Macaca mulatta: one gene and its partners. The protein of the gene in region 3 interacts with the protein of the main gene of each other region in a biochemical or structural test. Links are inferred from orthologs where the notes say so. Each region holds a gene or a part of one and is shown on either strand. Other genes may lie near its edges.

Region 1 (4,103 bases), about 5.9 Mb from region 3:
ACAAAAGCTATTCATAGTTTGCCTAGAATGATGGTTTCCAGCTTCATCCATGTCCCTGCAAAGGAACATGAACTCATCCTTTCTTATGGGTGCATAGTATTCCATGGTGTATATGTGCCACATTTTCTTTATTTAGTCTGTCACTGATGTTCTCACTCATAAGTGGGAGTTGAACAAGGAGGACACAGGGACACAGGGAGGGGAACATCACACACCGGGGCCTTTCGGGGAGTCGGGGGCTAGGGGAGGTATAGCATTAGGAGAAATGCTTAACGTAGGTGACAGATTGACGAGTGCAGCAAACCACCGTGGCATGTGTATACCTAGATAACAAAACTGCCATTCTGCATATGTATCCCAGAATTTAAAGTATAATAATTATTTAAAAAGCTTTTCATAGTTTATTTCAAAATATTTACAAAATATAGAACAGTATAAAGAATAAAACAAAAATCACCCATAATCTCGTAATTCAACTACTGCCAACACATATTGTATTTCCTTCTAGTCTTTATTCCCTGTGTCTGTCTTTAATATATGCATCTATCTAAAATTAGTTTTATTATAATATTATCAAGTCCTGGCTTCCTAAATGAGCAGGTATGACTGCTCTAAGGCATAACAAAGGGGTCTTATTAGAGTGCAAAGGATGGCTCAAAGGCTACCTGATTGCTTCAGGTATCCCAGTAGCCTTCTCCACTCATTCTGCTAAAGATCACTTATCTTCCCTCCTTGCCAATAGGACTGTCTGGCATTCCTGTTAAATGGAGCCTAACTGATCACATACAGGGACTGCATTCTAAAATCAATGTCTGAAAGGCCTTTGAACTGTAACCGACTTTACCTTTGAAAATCCCTGAGGAAGGAGCCGTGTTGGAGAACCATTAGTGTCTCTCAATAAGTTCAACCAGCTAGTTATTCCTCCAGTGAGAACTAGTTGCTCTTTCTTGGGTTGAGCACAAGACAAAGTAGTTGGCTTACAAGGGGCTATATTTTTTTTTTAAAAACACCAATCTTTAACACCAATATCATGCAGAATGAAAGTTGAATGGGAAGCAACTCTGACTGAAGAATGGTATATTCAAATCTTAGCCTCACATAGTCATTTGTGGAATGACACTAAGAATCACCCTTACTTTTTAAGTGGTTCATCATTTTCACTCTTTCTTTCTCTCACTTTCTGTCTTCTTTCCTCCCTTCCTTCCTTTCTTCTTTACCTCTTTCATTGCTTCCTTTTTCTCTCCTTCTTTTAATCTTTTTCTGATTACATATAACTGAATCTACACAAGTTTAATGCTCTTATAACAAAAGGCCATGACAGTCATTCATACTGAATTGGACACTGCTCATAACAGGGAATTCCACCACAACTGGCAGCCCATTTCTTTAGTTGAATATCTTTAGAAACCTCATGTTGAAGTAGCACTTGCCTCTCTTCCAGTTCTGCCCGCTGTGTTTCCTGGAATGATGGAGAGCAGCTCTTCTCAGACTCCCTGTGAAAGCCTTCCTGAAGTTCTAACATCCGTACTTCATCCAACCCATTTTTGTTATGGTGTGGTTTTTCAGGTGCCTCACCTTCCTGGTTTGCCTTTAACACCTGCCACTCTGGGAAGAGAATGACTGTGGGTCTTGGGCAAAGCCTATAGCCTTCATCAGCCTGTTCACTGACCAACTGCACAGCAGTGACAGGGGCATGGCAGTGGCACAGAGCAATGGTGGAAGCACATCCCTGAGACAGCCTCTCTGTGGCCCCAGCTCCAGCAGCCTGCATCCCAGATTTATGGATGGCACCTGGTAAAGCATGATGCAAACTCAATGTGAAATCCAAGTACATCATCATCTATCTCTGTATTTGGTTTGGGGTTTTATTAATGACAGAGGATGTGATTAAACAAAGTTTACACTGTAACTAACTCCAGCTGGATCCAAGCATCAATGGGAAACCCCAATTCCCTTGATGTTGTCCTTGTGTCCTTTCTACTCACAATTTCTTTTCCAAGGCATTTTCTCTGAATCTGATAATGGTGAGGTCATATAATCTCATTTATTTTAAGAGACAGTCTGGCACGCCCAGCCCAGTGGCCCTGCAATGAAGGACTTTTGTGTTGAAGATGCTGTGAGCCCTTGGATATGGCCTTATCCTAACCTATGAGATGAAATCACTGTTTCATTCTGCCAAGGCAATGTTATCATTGGGTTTGGGATTATATTTGACATTTTTCCAGCAGAAATCATATTCTAATAGACTCTAAACTGAAACATCATCATGCATAATCTTGTAAGATTACCAGAAGCCGGTTCAGTGAAATTTGGGTTCTTTCGGTAGAGTTGTTGCTTATTATAAAATGGCTATGATTACCTATTCCTTGGACTTTTTCTCTAGGGAAATTCAGGAATCACATCTCACCAGCACAAGCTGAGTACATCACTGTAAGTCTGCTTGTGATTTGTGCAGTGATTTCTTCCTCCTCACCAGAGCTGAGGTTGAGATTATCTTCAAAGTCTTTCCTCAGTCTCTGTCTCTCTGATCTTTCTCTCAGCTTCTCTCTCTCTTGCTGGCATTGCTCCTTTGCCCTTTGGATCTCCCTCCACACCCTCCTTTGCTTTCTCCACTCCCCTCTGTTACTTTCCTGCTTCCCCTTCTTCTCATTTACTCTTTGCTCTCATTCTCTTACTCCCCTCCTCTCTCAATTGCGTCCCACTATAGCGCCAATGTTCTCTTTCTACTATTTCAGTTTTCCTCTACAATAACATCAGGTTTCCTAAGGGTAAGACAAATCCCAGCTCACTTAGTTTGTTCCAGTGCCTATAGGTGTTGGGGTGATCTCATTCCATCTGTTCAGGATTCATCCATTCATGCCACCACATTCAACAAGCTCCAGGATGATGGGAAATGAGACAGCCATTTCTCCCTCTGTCCCTGACCTGGGCTTAGCCCCAGGATGGCTCCTAACTGGAATCAGCAGATCCAGCACCAGGGCCAGGGCCACCAATCATCAGTACCAACATTGTCAGATATCCCATAGTGCCCAGTGGTGACAGGACCAAACTGCATAATTAATGGCCATGTTGTGCTCTTCTGATGTGCCTGCCAAAATGTCACTGTTACCCTGTAGGTGACAGCCATTGTTCACTGATGAAGAGCCTTCCTCTAATTTGCACCATCATACTCACTATTCTTGAGAAGCTAAAAGAAGATGGTGGCTTTATCTCTTTTAAAGAGAGTTTCTAGAGGCAATGGGCTGGTGGGCTAGAGCAACTTCCAGAGTTTCACCCAGTGCTTGTAATGAAAACCACCAATTTGCTGTATACATAGCAATGTAATTCCTAATATTAAGCTATCGACTGAACTCACTATGGCAAATCAGAAGATGGTTCTTTCTCTTCTGGTTATGTTTTTTGTAGTGCGAGATTTTTATTATTCTAGAAAAAGGCCATTTCACCTGCTAACGATGAAAGCAAATGTCTTGCCTAAAACAAACAAACAAACAACATACCGCTGATGGTAACTCAACCTCCTCTTTTTTTGCCTTATGATTTACTTCTGTTATATGAAACAGTCACTGCTGAGAGCATGAAGCCTGGACAATTGAATCCTGATTGAGCAACTCACATGAATTCTGGGAAATAAAGTCAACAATTCACAAATTGAATCCACTTCTGAATGTTCATCCACCAAGGACTCTTGACATTCGATCTCTTTGCATTTCTGCTCAATGTTTATTGCTTTCCACTCGTCCCTCAAACCAAAGTCTTTGCTTGGTAATTTCTTGTTTTAGAAAGTGACAAACAGACCAAGCAGAGAAAACACTGTATGTTTTGGACTAAAAATGAAATCATTAGGGTAAGTTTCTATTCTTGTCGACTGGAATTTTACTCTGGTTTTGATTAAGCTCAACAAAGATATTATATTTGATGCTTTCCTGTAAATGTATGAGATGGTTTGCTATTGCATGTCCATGAATGGAAATATTAACAGTCTCCACTTGGCTCCATCAGCCTCTGGCTTGGTCTTCACACCCAAAAAGCCAACCAAGAGAATCACATCCTCAGCCCAGAGTGAGTAGTTTCTGTCTTGCCTGCAGTTTTTCTTCACAGTCTCA
Region 2 (4,201 bases), on a different chromosome or scaffold from region 3:
TGAAGAGTAATTATCCCTCAGTATTACTTTGAACAAAGAATTCTGAAACCATTTCAACCCTTAGAAGCAAACTGTCTACTTTAAAAAGGATTGGATTTTGAGAAATTCTTTGCCATTTTCAAAGCCCATTCACCTGCTATAAATCTTCATCTGAACTTATGAACAGTAGCAGAGGTGCTAGGCTGGGCACATACTATAATCATACAATTATAGAATTTTAGGAGCAGTAGGGATTTTAAAGGTCATCTAATGTGACCATTTAATTTTAAAGCTTAGGAAGCTAAGAGATTGTGATTTGTCTGAGGTCCCAAAGCAAACCACTGGCAGAGCACCATCACAGACTTTCTAATAGGGATCGCAAAGCATGTGACAGTAGCACTGGATCAGGCACTGAATGACACAGAATAACTATAAGTACTGTGCCTCCTTTCCTGTATTTATTTGTTATGCAGATATGCGTTAGACTCACAATACACATTTATTGAACTAATGACTGGCAGATTTCCTCCCATGTAGGATACTGTGCCATGTACTGAGGAAAATGATAAATAAAAACCAGATCACTTCCTCCAAGTTGCTCTAAATTTGATCTTCCTGTCCTCAGTGAGTTTGCAGTCTCTTAGGGAAACCAAGATATATCTGCTTAAAAAACGCCTAGTGGAAAACGTTTTCTTAAATATGATTGCATGCACGAAGATTGGGTTCAAATTCAATGAATGCTTTAGGAGGTTAGGAGATAAATATAAGCGTTGTAATTGATGGGAAAAAAATCCCCCAAACTAAAACACACACACACACACACACACACACACACACACACACACACACACGATCATTTAATTACATCACTCTCTGCTGCTGCCTTTCCGAGATCTCCCCCAGGCTGGGACACACAGCCTGTGCTCCGGGTAAGGTCAAGATGCCAACTCAGGAAGCATAAGAGAGGGGACGAGCAGAAGCCCACCCATCTGTATCTCCTCAACTAGCAAAGGCGAGAAAGACGGAGAAAAAAGGAAACAGCAACACAGACTGATAGAAACAATAAAGCAGGAATAGGAAGCTCCCGACACAGCGACTGCTCTGGGAGCCCGGGGTCGACCGCCCCCGCGGGCAGGGTGCGCGGACTCAGCGGTGGGACCCGCGGCCGCGGGGGCACAGAGTGGGCGGCAGGAGAGGCGGCGGCAGCGCCTGCGAGGCCGAGGGGAGGTCGCCGGAGGCGCCTCCAGCGCCCGGAGACCCGGTGCGCAGCGCAGCTCGGCCGCGGGACGCGGCGCCCGGAGCCCCGGCAGCGCCCGCCCTCCCTCCCGCGTTGCCCGCCAGCGCCCGCGCCCGCTCCGCCAGTGACTTCAGCTCAGCTCCACCCCCGCGCGGCGGCGGCTCGCTCCGTCCGGACCCGCGCTCTGCACAAGCCCAGCCCGGGCGAGCGGCCGCCACCTGCCTGGCGCCGCCTCCGCCCGCCCCCACCGCGGCCCAACTTGGATGGAGTTGGGGTCCTGAGCGCCGGCCCCCCACAGCCGCCAGCGCCGAGCTCCGCGCCGCCACCTTCGGTCCGGGACCCTCTCTCCGCTGCTCTTCGCTCCCGCGATGGGAAAAGTTGGCGCCGGCGGCGGCTTCCAAGCCCGGCTGAGCGCGCTCCTAGCCGGCGCGGGGCTCTTGGTCCTCTGCGTCCCGGGCGTCTTCGGCGGCGGCTCTTGCTGCCCCCCGCCGCACCCCAGCTCGGCCCCACGCTCGGCCTCGACCCCTAGGGGCTTTTCTTACCAGGGGCCGCCAGGCAGGGCTCCTGCCACGCCCCTGCCCCTCGTAGTGCGCCCCCTGTTCTCAGTGGCCCCCGGGAACCGAGCGCTGTCCCTGGAGCGGGCTCGGGGCACTGGAGCATCCGTGGCGGTTGCTGCACGCTCCGGCCGGAGGAGACGGAGCGGTGCGGATCAGGAGAAGGCAGAACGGGGAGAGGGCGCGAGTCGGAGCCCCCGGGGAGTGCTAAGAGATGGAGGGCAGCAGGAGCCTGGTACTCGGGAGCGGGACCCGGACAAAGCCACCCGCTTCCGGATGGAGGAGCTGAGGCTGACCAGCACCACGTTTGCTCTGACGGGAGACTCAGCACACAACCAAGCCATGGTCCACTGGTCTGGCCACAACAGCAGCGTGAGTAGAATGGGACTAAGGGCAAAGGAGTGGAAAGATGGAAAGGGTTAAAGTCGGCTGTGTGATCTGGTGGAGAATTGGGGGGAAATAGGGTTTCTGGACTTGGGAGATGCTGCAAACTGGTCTTTGCCCACTTCCCCCAAGAGTTAACATCACCTGCTAGGAGACTAGCCTCCCCATCTCTCCCACCAACACCATCAGAGTCCTCTCCAAATGCCACAGTTTCAAACTGAGGAGTCAAATCCCTATTTCTTGTTGCCTTGGTCGCACTGGTGTGTGAAACTGAAGACCAGACAAACAGAGGGGTTAAAGTTCTCCTAATACAGAGACGAAAGGGTTAAATTTCCAGGCAGGCTGACATCCCCTCAAGTGACTTTCCCTTTACTTGCCAGACTTATGTACTGGCTCAAGGAAGATTAAGAAGACCCATGTATGTAGGCGTTTTATTTTATTTCCATTTAATTTCATGCAGAGCTCCTAACCCCTTCTTCCCCACAAGGGAGAACTGCAGTGGAGAGTATAGGGTGTTCTTTAGTGTATCCTCTGCTTTAGGGGACCAAGTGGATGCAAGTTTCAGGACAGGAACTCTCCAGCATCTTCTAACAGCACTAAGCGAGTGTGTTTTGAGAACTGGGGCTTTCCAGTCTGTGAATGAGCGGTTGTTCTCTGGCATGGTCAGTCTCAGGAAAATCAGATATATCCCAGTGACAACAACTCCCTGTTCTCCCCCATTGCCTGACCTCCTCTAATGAAGAGCACAAATAAAGACTTAACATACCCTTTATGAAGGCAGGAAAGGGATTGCTCAATTCCAGGAGGCTGGATTCCAGGGGACTTAGGATGCAAGTCCATGAGCTTTGGTCATATCAGGAAAGGTTTTAGATTTTCAGAAAAGCTTGCTTGTCTGCAATCTGAGGGAGCTATTCCCATTGAAATTGAACCTGGAAACTTCAGTGAGTAGAAATAATAAAGAACCAGCTTTGATTCTAATAACTAACAATGATTTTAAAGTGTGGAAACTTCTCCAGGCATAGACAAGAACATAAAAACCAAGGATGGGTAAAATGGGGGAAAAAATTTTCAAGTTTTACAGCTTCACCCAGGTAATTGAGATTGTAGTGTTTGTAATATGCACAATCTACACATTCTGGTACCTTTCAGAACGTTTTCCGTTGTGATGTAATTCCCAGAAACCTTCCCAGAGAAGTGCCACTTTAGTGAGTTGTGCTCATTGTCAGCTTTTAAATGAGAGTTGTGAACATTTTAAAATGCTAGTCTGTCATCATGAATTCCTTGGGTACTTAGATATAAATTGTATTAAGGCAAATCATGATAGATAATATTTAGTATTGATTGATGTATCTGTCCTGAGAGCGGTAGCAGGGTTTTCCCTACAATTCCTCCTTCATGACAGAGGCTGTGGTTTTATATGGTTCTCAGGAGTGGTTTGATCAAATAAATGAAGCTGAAATTCTTTCCATTCAAGTTCTGGAGACCCTTGCCCTCATCCCTTGCCTTAACTATTTTATCTTTCATATCATAGCCACTAAAATTAATCCTCTAATTTGAACTCAAATCTTCTTAAACTGATTGAATAACTTTCACACTGCTTTAAGTGATAAACTCAAAGCTTCTGGCTTTGAGGGGAGATTTTAAACACATCAAACATGTTAGCTCTTGTTGTATTAAGAAGTAAAAGACCTTGGACTCAAAATGTTTCTGGCTTTTAATGTAATTCAAGCTGTAAAATATCACTCACCCATTAGACCTCTTTTTTTTTTTTTTTTTTTTAAGCTCATCTCTTGAAAGATCTTGGAAAGAAAGAGAAAAGTAGAATACATCTTTGGCAAATTTTTAACCTCCATTTAGGAAATGGTGCCAAGCACTGCCAGCATTAAAAAATAATAATAAATGCTGCTTATAATTCTAGTAGGGCTTGTTAGGGTCAGGGCATTGAACATGCAGGCAAGTCTGAGATAATGTAGGAAATAAGGTGATAAGTGTTAAAGTTTTGATCACTCAAATCATGTTAACTAATGAGGTGAGATTTCTGCCCTCT
Region 3 (3,610 bases):
TTGAACTCCTGACCTCAGGTGATTCACCTGCCTCAGCCTCCCAAAATGCTGGGATTACAGGCGTGCACCACCACAGCCAGCCTTAAATTTATTAATTTAAAAGCCACTTCTTACCTGGGTCACTCTCCTGTCTTTCCTTTGAAATAATTTCTGCAAAGATATTTACTTTCATACTCTCTCTGAACAAATCTCTTTTGCTTATCCTGTTAACCACAGACATTAAAAGTAAAAATAGTTGGCCGGGTGCGGTGGCTCACACCGATTATCTTGGGAGGCCAAGGCGGGAAGATTACCTGAGATCAAGAGTTCGAGACCAGCCTGCGCAACATGTGAAACTCCATTTCTACTAAAAATACAAAAATTAGCTGGGTGTGGTAGCACGTGCCTGTAATCCCAGCTACTCGGGAGGCTAAGGCATGAGAATCTCTTGAACCCACGAGGCAGAGGTTGCAGTGAGCCGAGATCGTGCCACTGCACTCCAGCCTGGTGACAGAGTGACACTCCATCTCAGAAAAAAAAAAAAAAAAAGATTAAAATAGTTGTCAGCCAATAAGCCATCACCTAAATGTGTAAGGGGTTTTGTCTGGTTTGGGGTCAAAAAGCCAGAGTGGTTTTCTGAATTCCCAGTATACGTGGATCCTCTGTCATGATCTTTCTCTAATCGTGGTTTCAGGTTCTCCACAGACGAAGGTCAGTGCTGGCAAACCTACACGTTCACCAGGGACCCCATCTATTTCACTGGCCTAGCTTCAGAACCTGGAGCGAGGTCCATGAATATCAGTATTTGGGGCTTCACAGAATCTTTCCTGACCAGCCAGTGGGTCTCCTACACCATTGATTTTAAAGATATCCTTGAAAGGAACTGTGAGTGTCTCCTTTGACCTTTTCTACCAGCAACCTAAGCCTATTTTCCTAAATAATCAATATGGTTTGATTTCTGTTAGCTGGAATCAGCAGATGCATATTCACATGAAAGAGGATTGACAGATGTTCTGTGCGGGTGATTAAGTAATGGAATGGCATCAGAAAAACAGCCTCCTCCTTGGTGCTAGCACTGTCCAGGAGAAATATGAGGGTCACATATGTCATTTAAATTATTCTGTCAGTTACATTATAAAAGTAAAAAGAAAGGTGATATTAATAAAATAAACTTAATATATACAAAATATTATTTCAACATTAAGCAGTATTAAAGGACCAGAAAATAGCTTCAGAAAAAGATTCATAATGTTCATTACACAGTGTTCCCGAAGTGTCACAAGCAAACCCTGATCTCAGTGCCAAACAAAGGTGCTGGCATTATATAAGAAATAAGGGGAATGGCCAGGCGCAGTGGCTCATGCCTGTAATCCTAGCACTTTGGGAGGCCAAGATGGGCAGATCACGAGGTCAGGAGTTCGAGACCAGCCTGGCCAACAGGGCGAAACCCCGTCTCTACTAAAAATACAAAAATTAGCCAGGTGAGGTGGCGGGTGCCTGTAATCCCAGCTAGTCGGGAGGCTGGGGCAGGAGAATCATTTGAACCCGGGATGAAGAGGTTGTAGTGAGCCAAGATCGTGCCATTGCACTCCAGCCTGGGTGACAAGAGCAAGACTCCATCTCAAAAAAAAAAAAAAAAAGAAGGGGGATAAAGGAAAACACTGGAAAAAGGATGACCTGTAGTTAAGTGTTGGCATGATGCAATAAAAGACTTAACATTTCCAGACACTTTAGTTGAATTTGGTTCTTTGAGACTCGTGAGCTCATTTCCTCAGTGTGTTGATTTAGTGACTCCTGAGGGAGCAGACCCTTGGTTTGGACCTTACTTTTCCATAAGACGTTCAAATAGATTTAATGCCTGAGGGTCGCTGTCATTTAAATCCATTCAGTAGTCTGTACAGAAGCTGGCTTGGGAGTTCTCCCCTCAGCAGGCAGTTTTCCAGTTACCCCTAAAGTTTAATGTCATTAAAAGATTTGTTAGGCACCTGCTCTTTAGCAGGATCTATGCTGGTCTTCATTTCCCGAAGGATAAAACCTAATCCACTGTCTTTAGGTCACAGCCTTTGAGTCGTTTTTCCAGTAGATGATACGACATACTAAGCCAGAAACTAGGTTCATCAGCAATCTGCATTTGAGAGCCGGTCAATTGGAGCTAGAAGTCTAGGAAGAGGATGTTTTCCCTTCTGCCTTAAGCCAGTGAACACATGGTGAAATTGAACCTGTGTTCTTGGCTAATTAGTCTTGTCCTAAACAAAGAGCTCCCTGGCCCTGAGTGGAAAATATCTGGTTGCTTACATCTGACAGCTCCTTGACTGAGGGCGTAGGTGTGCAAGACACACAGACAACAGCCTCTTAGTTTGGAAGGAACTAGAGAGATTTTCTATCCAGCTCCCACTTCAAAACAAGTAGGGTTTTTCCTAATCCTCAGATGGATGTTGAGATGGAAAGAATATTCTTTTGGCATGAGGAAATGCAATTGCTAGTAGGCTCTAGACTAGTGTAGCTTTCTGTTTGCAATTCCAAAATGAAGGAATAGGTTGAGTCAGACATTCCCACTTTCCCTCTCCTTGTTCTACCTATAGCCTGGCAGCTGCCTCCCGTGGGTGGGTTCTGTGCTGTGCACTTTTCCTGAACAGTCTGTCTCTCATTCAGGTGAAGAGAAGGACTATACCATATGGCTGGCACACTCCACAGACCCTGAAGATTATGAAGATGGCTGCATTTTGGGCTATAAAGAACAGTTTCTGCGGCTACGCAAGTCATCCGTGTGTCAGAATGGTCGAGACTATGTTGTGACCAAGCAGCCCTCCATCTGCCTCTGTTCCCTGGAGGACTTTCTCTGGTATCGGCATTCCTCAGATTTCTCTATCTCCCCTTCCCTGTTGGAGGAGGTGAAAGACAGTTTTCTTATAGGCTAACAAATATTGAAATCCAACCGGGCACCGTGGCTCACACCTGTAATCCCAGCACTTTGGGAGGTCGAGGCAGGTGGATCACTTCAGGCCAGGAGTTCGAGGTCAGCTTGGCCAACATGGTGAAACTCTGTCTCTACAAAAAAAAAAAATTAGCTGGGTGTGGTGGCACATGCCTGTAATCCCAGCTGCTCAGGTGGCTGAGACACAAGAATCACTTGAACTTGGGAGGCAGAGGTTGCAGTGAGCCAAGATCGCGCCATTGCACTCCAGCCGGGGCGACAGAGCGAGACTCTTGTCCCAAAAGAAATTGAAACCCTTTTCTCCAAGAGTGGAGAACTGCTGCTTCTTATCAAGGAAACTGAGGCACAGAGAAAGGAAACCAAAATTGTTAATAATTAGATAATATAATCATATTAGACAGTTAATGGGCAGAACCAGCAACGAACCCCAGAAATCCTGAGTTGACAGTGGTGGGAAGGAGAGAAGTGATATAAGAAAGAAGAGAAGCCAGGCGTGGTGGCTCACGCCTGTAATCCCAGCACTGTGGGAGGCCGCGGCAGGCAGATCATGAGGTCAAGAGATCGAGACCATCCTGGCTAACATGGTGAAACCCCATCTCTACTAAAAAATACAAAAAACTAGCTGGGCGTGGTCGGGGGCTCCTGTAGTCCCAGCTGCTTGGGAGGCTGAGGCAGGAGAATGGCATGAACCCGGGA
Region 4 (4,396 bases), on a different chromosome or scaffold from region 3:
CAATGAGTCTTAGCAATTATTAGGTCAAATCCCTTTGAGATTACAGGAAAGTGCACATAAACAGAAAGCTGCCTGCGGAATTTGGGTGTGGGCTTGGTGGGAGATTCCTCTGATACCCAGTGTTGTACCCCCAAGAGAGTGCTTCTCAAAGTGTGACTTCGGATTGTCTGCATTCGAATTGCTTGTGGTATTTATTAAAATTCTAATTCCTGGACCCTGCCCCACCCCTACTAAATCACAATTTCAGGAGGAAGGACCTTCATTTTAACACTCACTCAGGTGATTTTTATGCTCCGAGGAGGTCCAGGGACTCCGAGTTAAGTACGGTACTGCTGTCTTGTTCTTTATTCTAAATTTTAAGGTCTGCACAAATTGGTTGAACTAATGAGAATAAAATTTAGCCTTAAAGCAGAAACACAGGTAGACGGTTGACAGAGTTCATCAAACGGATAACTGAAAATGTCCTCTGGACCCTAGCCATATAAGTTCTCTCCATGGGTCTTGGCTACAGGCAAATGAGAACCCGAAAGACTATTTGCTCTTTTGCTGCGGGCAGTGGTGGGGGTGGAGGGCGGGGGAGGATTAACTGAGCCAGTTCTGCCCCCACCCTCGAATCCCCTACCCCCACTCTGGTTAAAGCAGAAGATTTTTTATTTATCTTTGCTGCCCTGGTTCGTTATTAAAAGGGTTAGCTTATATGTGTGTTTGCTGGGGCTGGAAGTGAAAACATCTGCAAAAGCATGCAATGCCCTGGAACGGAACTCTTCTAATAAAAGATGTATCATTTTAAATGCGCTGAATTTTGATTCTGGTAATTCGTGCACTAGAGTGTCTATTTCGAGGCAGCGGAGGTATCATATGACAGCGCACGTCAAGGCACCGTGGAGCCCTCTCGTGGACTCCCACCCACTTTCCCATTCACCGCGGAGAGGGCTGCTCTCGCTGCCGCTCCCCCCGGCGAGCTAGCATGAAATCTTCCTGCCTCTGCCGAGATCAAATGGAGCTTCTAGCTGATGGGGTGCGAGTATTACCTCCGCCATGCAATTTCCACTATCAATAATTTAACTTCTTTGCTGCAGAACAGAAGGAGTACATACCGGGCACTAAAGACTCGCGCCCCCTCCCCCCTTTAAGCAAAGAGAACGTGAAAAAATAATAGAGTCTGGGAGTTTTGGGGCCGAAGTCTTTCCCAGAGCAGCTGCCTTGATGGTTACTTTGACAAGTAGTGTCTGAAAAGGTGGGTTTGTTTTCTTTCTTTCTCTTTCCGTTTTTCTGTTTGGTCTGCTAGAAAGCGTGTGGCTTTAGCGAGGTCTGTCATTGCCTGGGCTTCCTGGCTGGAACAAGTAACTTGGTGTAACGTTATCTGGGGGCGTTCATCAATAAAAAATGCTGTTGTTATCTTGATTGAATTCCTATTAGGCAAACTCTAGAGAGGTCAGTGCGCGAACTCTGTTTAAGCCGGCGTGTTTAAGGCAGCGGAGTAAACCAATAGCCCCCATGCTCTGTGCGATTTCATTGTGTGCTCGCGTTCGCAAGCTCCGTAGTGCGGGAAGGTGCGGGAAGGTGTGTCTGTGGCCCGGGAAAAGCACGCCCATTCCCAGAGAACTTAGGTGCTGGGATGGGGAGGAAGGGGAGAGTTGAAAGCTAGGGGAGCAAGACCTCAGGGCGTGCGATCCTCACTCGCTCCCTCACGCCCCAGCGCGCACAGCCGGGGTTTCTGCAGAGGGCGCGGGACGCGGGGTTCCCCGGGGCTGGGGCTGGGGCTGGAACACCCCTCGAAGCTGCGGGCGTCCTGCCCAAGGCGCCCCGGGAGGGCGCAGGACTCGCAGGATGATGTCGCGGGGACCTGGGGGAGGACGTGAGGACAGGCCCTGGGGGAGCGGGGAGTCCCAGGCGCCCCTCGGTCCCCCGGGCGAGAAAAAGGCGCGGCGTTCCCTTTAAGCAGCCGCCCCGAACGGGTATCGGTAGCGCGGGCGAGCGGGGGGAGGGGGGCGGGGGGGTGGCGCCGTTTGACCAATCGAAGCTCAACCGAAGAGCTAAATAATGTCTGACCCGGGCGCAAGGCGCAGCCTGGAGCTCCGGGTCCCAGCCGCTGCCGCCGCCGCGCCCGGGCGCACCCGCCGGCTCGCTGTCCCGCGCACCCCGTAGCGCCTCGGGCTCCCGGGCCGGACGGAGGAACCGGCCCGGTGCGCCTCCCATCTCCTGCTCGGGGGGCTTTAATGAGACACTTGAATGCAGCTGCCACCGCTGCTGTGGGGCCGGCGGGGAGCAGCACCGCGACGAGGACCCGGGCTGGGCGCTGGAGCCAGAATCGGAACCACGATGTGACTCCGCCGCCGGGGACCCGTGAGCTTTGTGTGGACCCCGAGGTAGGCAAGCGCCGGGCATGGGGCTTGGTACGGGAGCTGCCGGTCCGCAGGAGAAAGTTGACTGGGGGACCCCCCAAAGTTGTGGGACGAGGCCAGTCTCCTTCTTTCCTCCCCGCCGGTAGAAGGGAGGATTTGGAGTTGCTCCTGGGGAGTTTTCTCCCCCATCCCACAACCCAGAAGGTCACCCGGCACTACCAGGGAAAAAGGGACCCGGGGAAGGCACGAAGTAGAGGACAGAAGGCCTGGAGGAGACCCAGAGCTGCGTGATGGGAGCCAAGACGGCGACCCGGGGATCCCTCGCAGTCCTCCCCCACCCCAGGAGGAGTCGAGAGAGACTTAGGGGGCCAGAGCTGTCGGGGGCCCTGACTGAGGGAAGGGTGCTGAGGCTAGGCTAGGAATCCTTCCAGGGGTTGGGTGGTCCCCGCGCCGACCTGTGGGGGGAGTGGGAGGGAAGCTTGCGCCTTGAGTCCGCGTCGTCCCCGGGACTGCACACGGCTACCTGCTCCCCAGGAGTTGAGACTGAAGTGGATTTACAAGTCCGAAGCCAATGTAGCTTAGAAAACTTGGGAGGCGGAATTACTACCGCTCGGAACTGAAAGGGTCTGCGAGACTCCCGGGCGGGCCGAACCCACATCTCTACCCAGCCTGCGCCCCTCTTCTGAAGCGCCCTCCAAGGAAGTTAGAGTTTTGACTTTCGGGGACTAGGTGGGATATAGGTGGGGGATTCCTTACTCGGGTTAGTCTCTGGGGATGCAGAGCCGGGAAGAATGGGTGAGAGTGAGTTGCGCCTGGAAAGAAATAGCTGAGGATTGGGGGCTCTGTGCCCGACGGGCAAGAAGAAGGGGAGATTACAGACTAGGGGCAGCCCTAAGGAAGAAGCCTTGGGGCTGCGAGGGTGAACTGGAGGATGCAGTGTTTTTGTGTTGGGGGTGGAGCAGGGATGAGGGACCGAGGTGGAGGGGAGGCAAGGAGGAGGAGGGGACCCGGAGAAGGAAGCTAGGGAAGGTAGAGGGTGCCCTCTGCCGGCCATGCTGCCAAGAGCAGCTCCTGGGGGCGGGAGGCTGGGGGTGGGGAAGTGGTAAGGGAAGGTTTTGCGGGATCCCTTAGAGAGCTGGTAGGAGGGACTTGTTGAATGGTGCTGCTGACTCCAGCTCGGTAGGGCATGCGACTCGTCGTCGGTGGATTTTGACTCCTTGTTCTTGTTTGGCTTCTATGCAAGTTTTCCTCGCGCTGGGGGAGCTCTGATAAGCCTCGATTGGTGGTGTGTTAGGGCTTCTTGGATCTTATTTTAGGGCCCTCTAGGTATCTTACACTTACTCTCAATGTCAGTAGCAACCAAAGAACGTTTTCCAACAAGCACGCAGGAATGTTCTTGGCCAGAAGCGAAGAAAAGCATATTTCTGAGTGTTTATTAATCCTCCTAGTACAGTTATCTTTTAAAGCAAAGTAGTATGCAATTGGGAACGTTGATTTTCTAACTGCATATAAAAGGCGATATGCTATTAAATGAGACCCCTCCCTACTGGCTCAATATCCTGAAAAATCTCTCTCTCCCCTTTATTATTATCGAAAAATCTATTTTTATATGAGTTTGTTGTAAGGTCAAAAGCCATTTCGGTCTTACAATTTGATATGTCTTTACATTTTAATTTATTGAGCCATAATTACAGATTTAATTTGTCTGAACGTGTGTGCCTTCAATGCTTACCTCATGCAACATAATTTTTAGGTTGGAGATTTCTGATGTTATGACATGTAGCGATTCAAGACATTACACATAATAGGTAACATAGCATGTTGAAATTACACCACAAAGTTTTGACCCTGGGAACAGCACCTTTTAAAAACCATCACTAAACACCTGTTCGTGTTTTCTGATTTTTGCAAATGCCTTGCTTGTGACTTTTTATTTTTTTATTTTTGTTTTTTGGTAAATTTACCTCTGGGTGAGCAGGAGAGGTAAGAGAAAGGAAAGAGACACTTGTTGAAATGTAACCATAACCTTTACTGGAATTTAAAACATGTTG

The links.
Region 1: the proteins of SORT1 (region 3) and NGF form a complex in vitro, tested with the Homo sapiens proteins (3 studies listed by BioGRID and IntAct, with this or other methods). The link is inferred for Macaca mulatta from reciprocal best matches to the Homo sapiens genes SORT1 and NGF.
Region 2: the proteins of SORT1 (region 3) and SORCS1 form a complex in vitro, tested with the Homo sapiens proteins (2 studies listed by BioGRID and IntAct, with this or other methods). The link is inferred for Macaca mulatta from reciprocal best matches to the Homo sapiens genes SORT1 and SORCS1.
Region 4: the proteins of SORT1 (region 3) and BDNF form a complex in vitro, tested with the Homo sapiens proteins (2 studies listed by BioGRID and IntAct, with this or other methods). The link is inferred for Macaca mulatta from reciprocal best matches to the Homo sapiens genes SORT1 and BDNF.

The regions. Positions count from the first base shown.
Region 1 is NC_133406.1:124,961,452-124,965,554, forward strand, and holds the start of NGF (beta-nerve growth factor), read left to right. Parts: upstream 1-1,210; 5' UTR 1,211-4,103. UniProt on the Homo sapiens protein: Nerve growth factor is important for the development and maintenance of the sympathetic and sensory nervous systems.
Region 2 is NC_133414.1:119,346,877-119,351,077, reverse strand, and holds the start of SORCS1 (VPS10 domain-containing receptor SorCS1), read left to right. Parts: upstream 1-1,342; 5' UTR 1,343-1,584; coding exon 1,585-2,142; intron 2,143-4,201.
Region 3 is NC_133406.1:130,882,261-130,885,870, forward strand, and holds part of SORT1 (sortilin), read left to right. Parts: intron 1-673; coding exon 674-864; intron 865-2,631; coding exon 2,632-2,821; intron 2,822-3,610.
Region 4 is NC_133419.1:37,581,834-37,586,229, forward strand, and holds the start of BDNF (neurotrophic factor BDNF precursor form), read left to right. Parts: upstream 1-1,593; 5' UTR 1,594-2,219; coding exon 2,220-2,369; intron 2,370-4,396. UniProt on the Homo sapiens protein: Important signaling molecule that activates signaling cascades downstream of NTRK2. During development, promotes the survival and differentiation of selected neuronal populations of the peripheral and central nervous systems.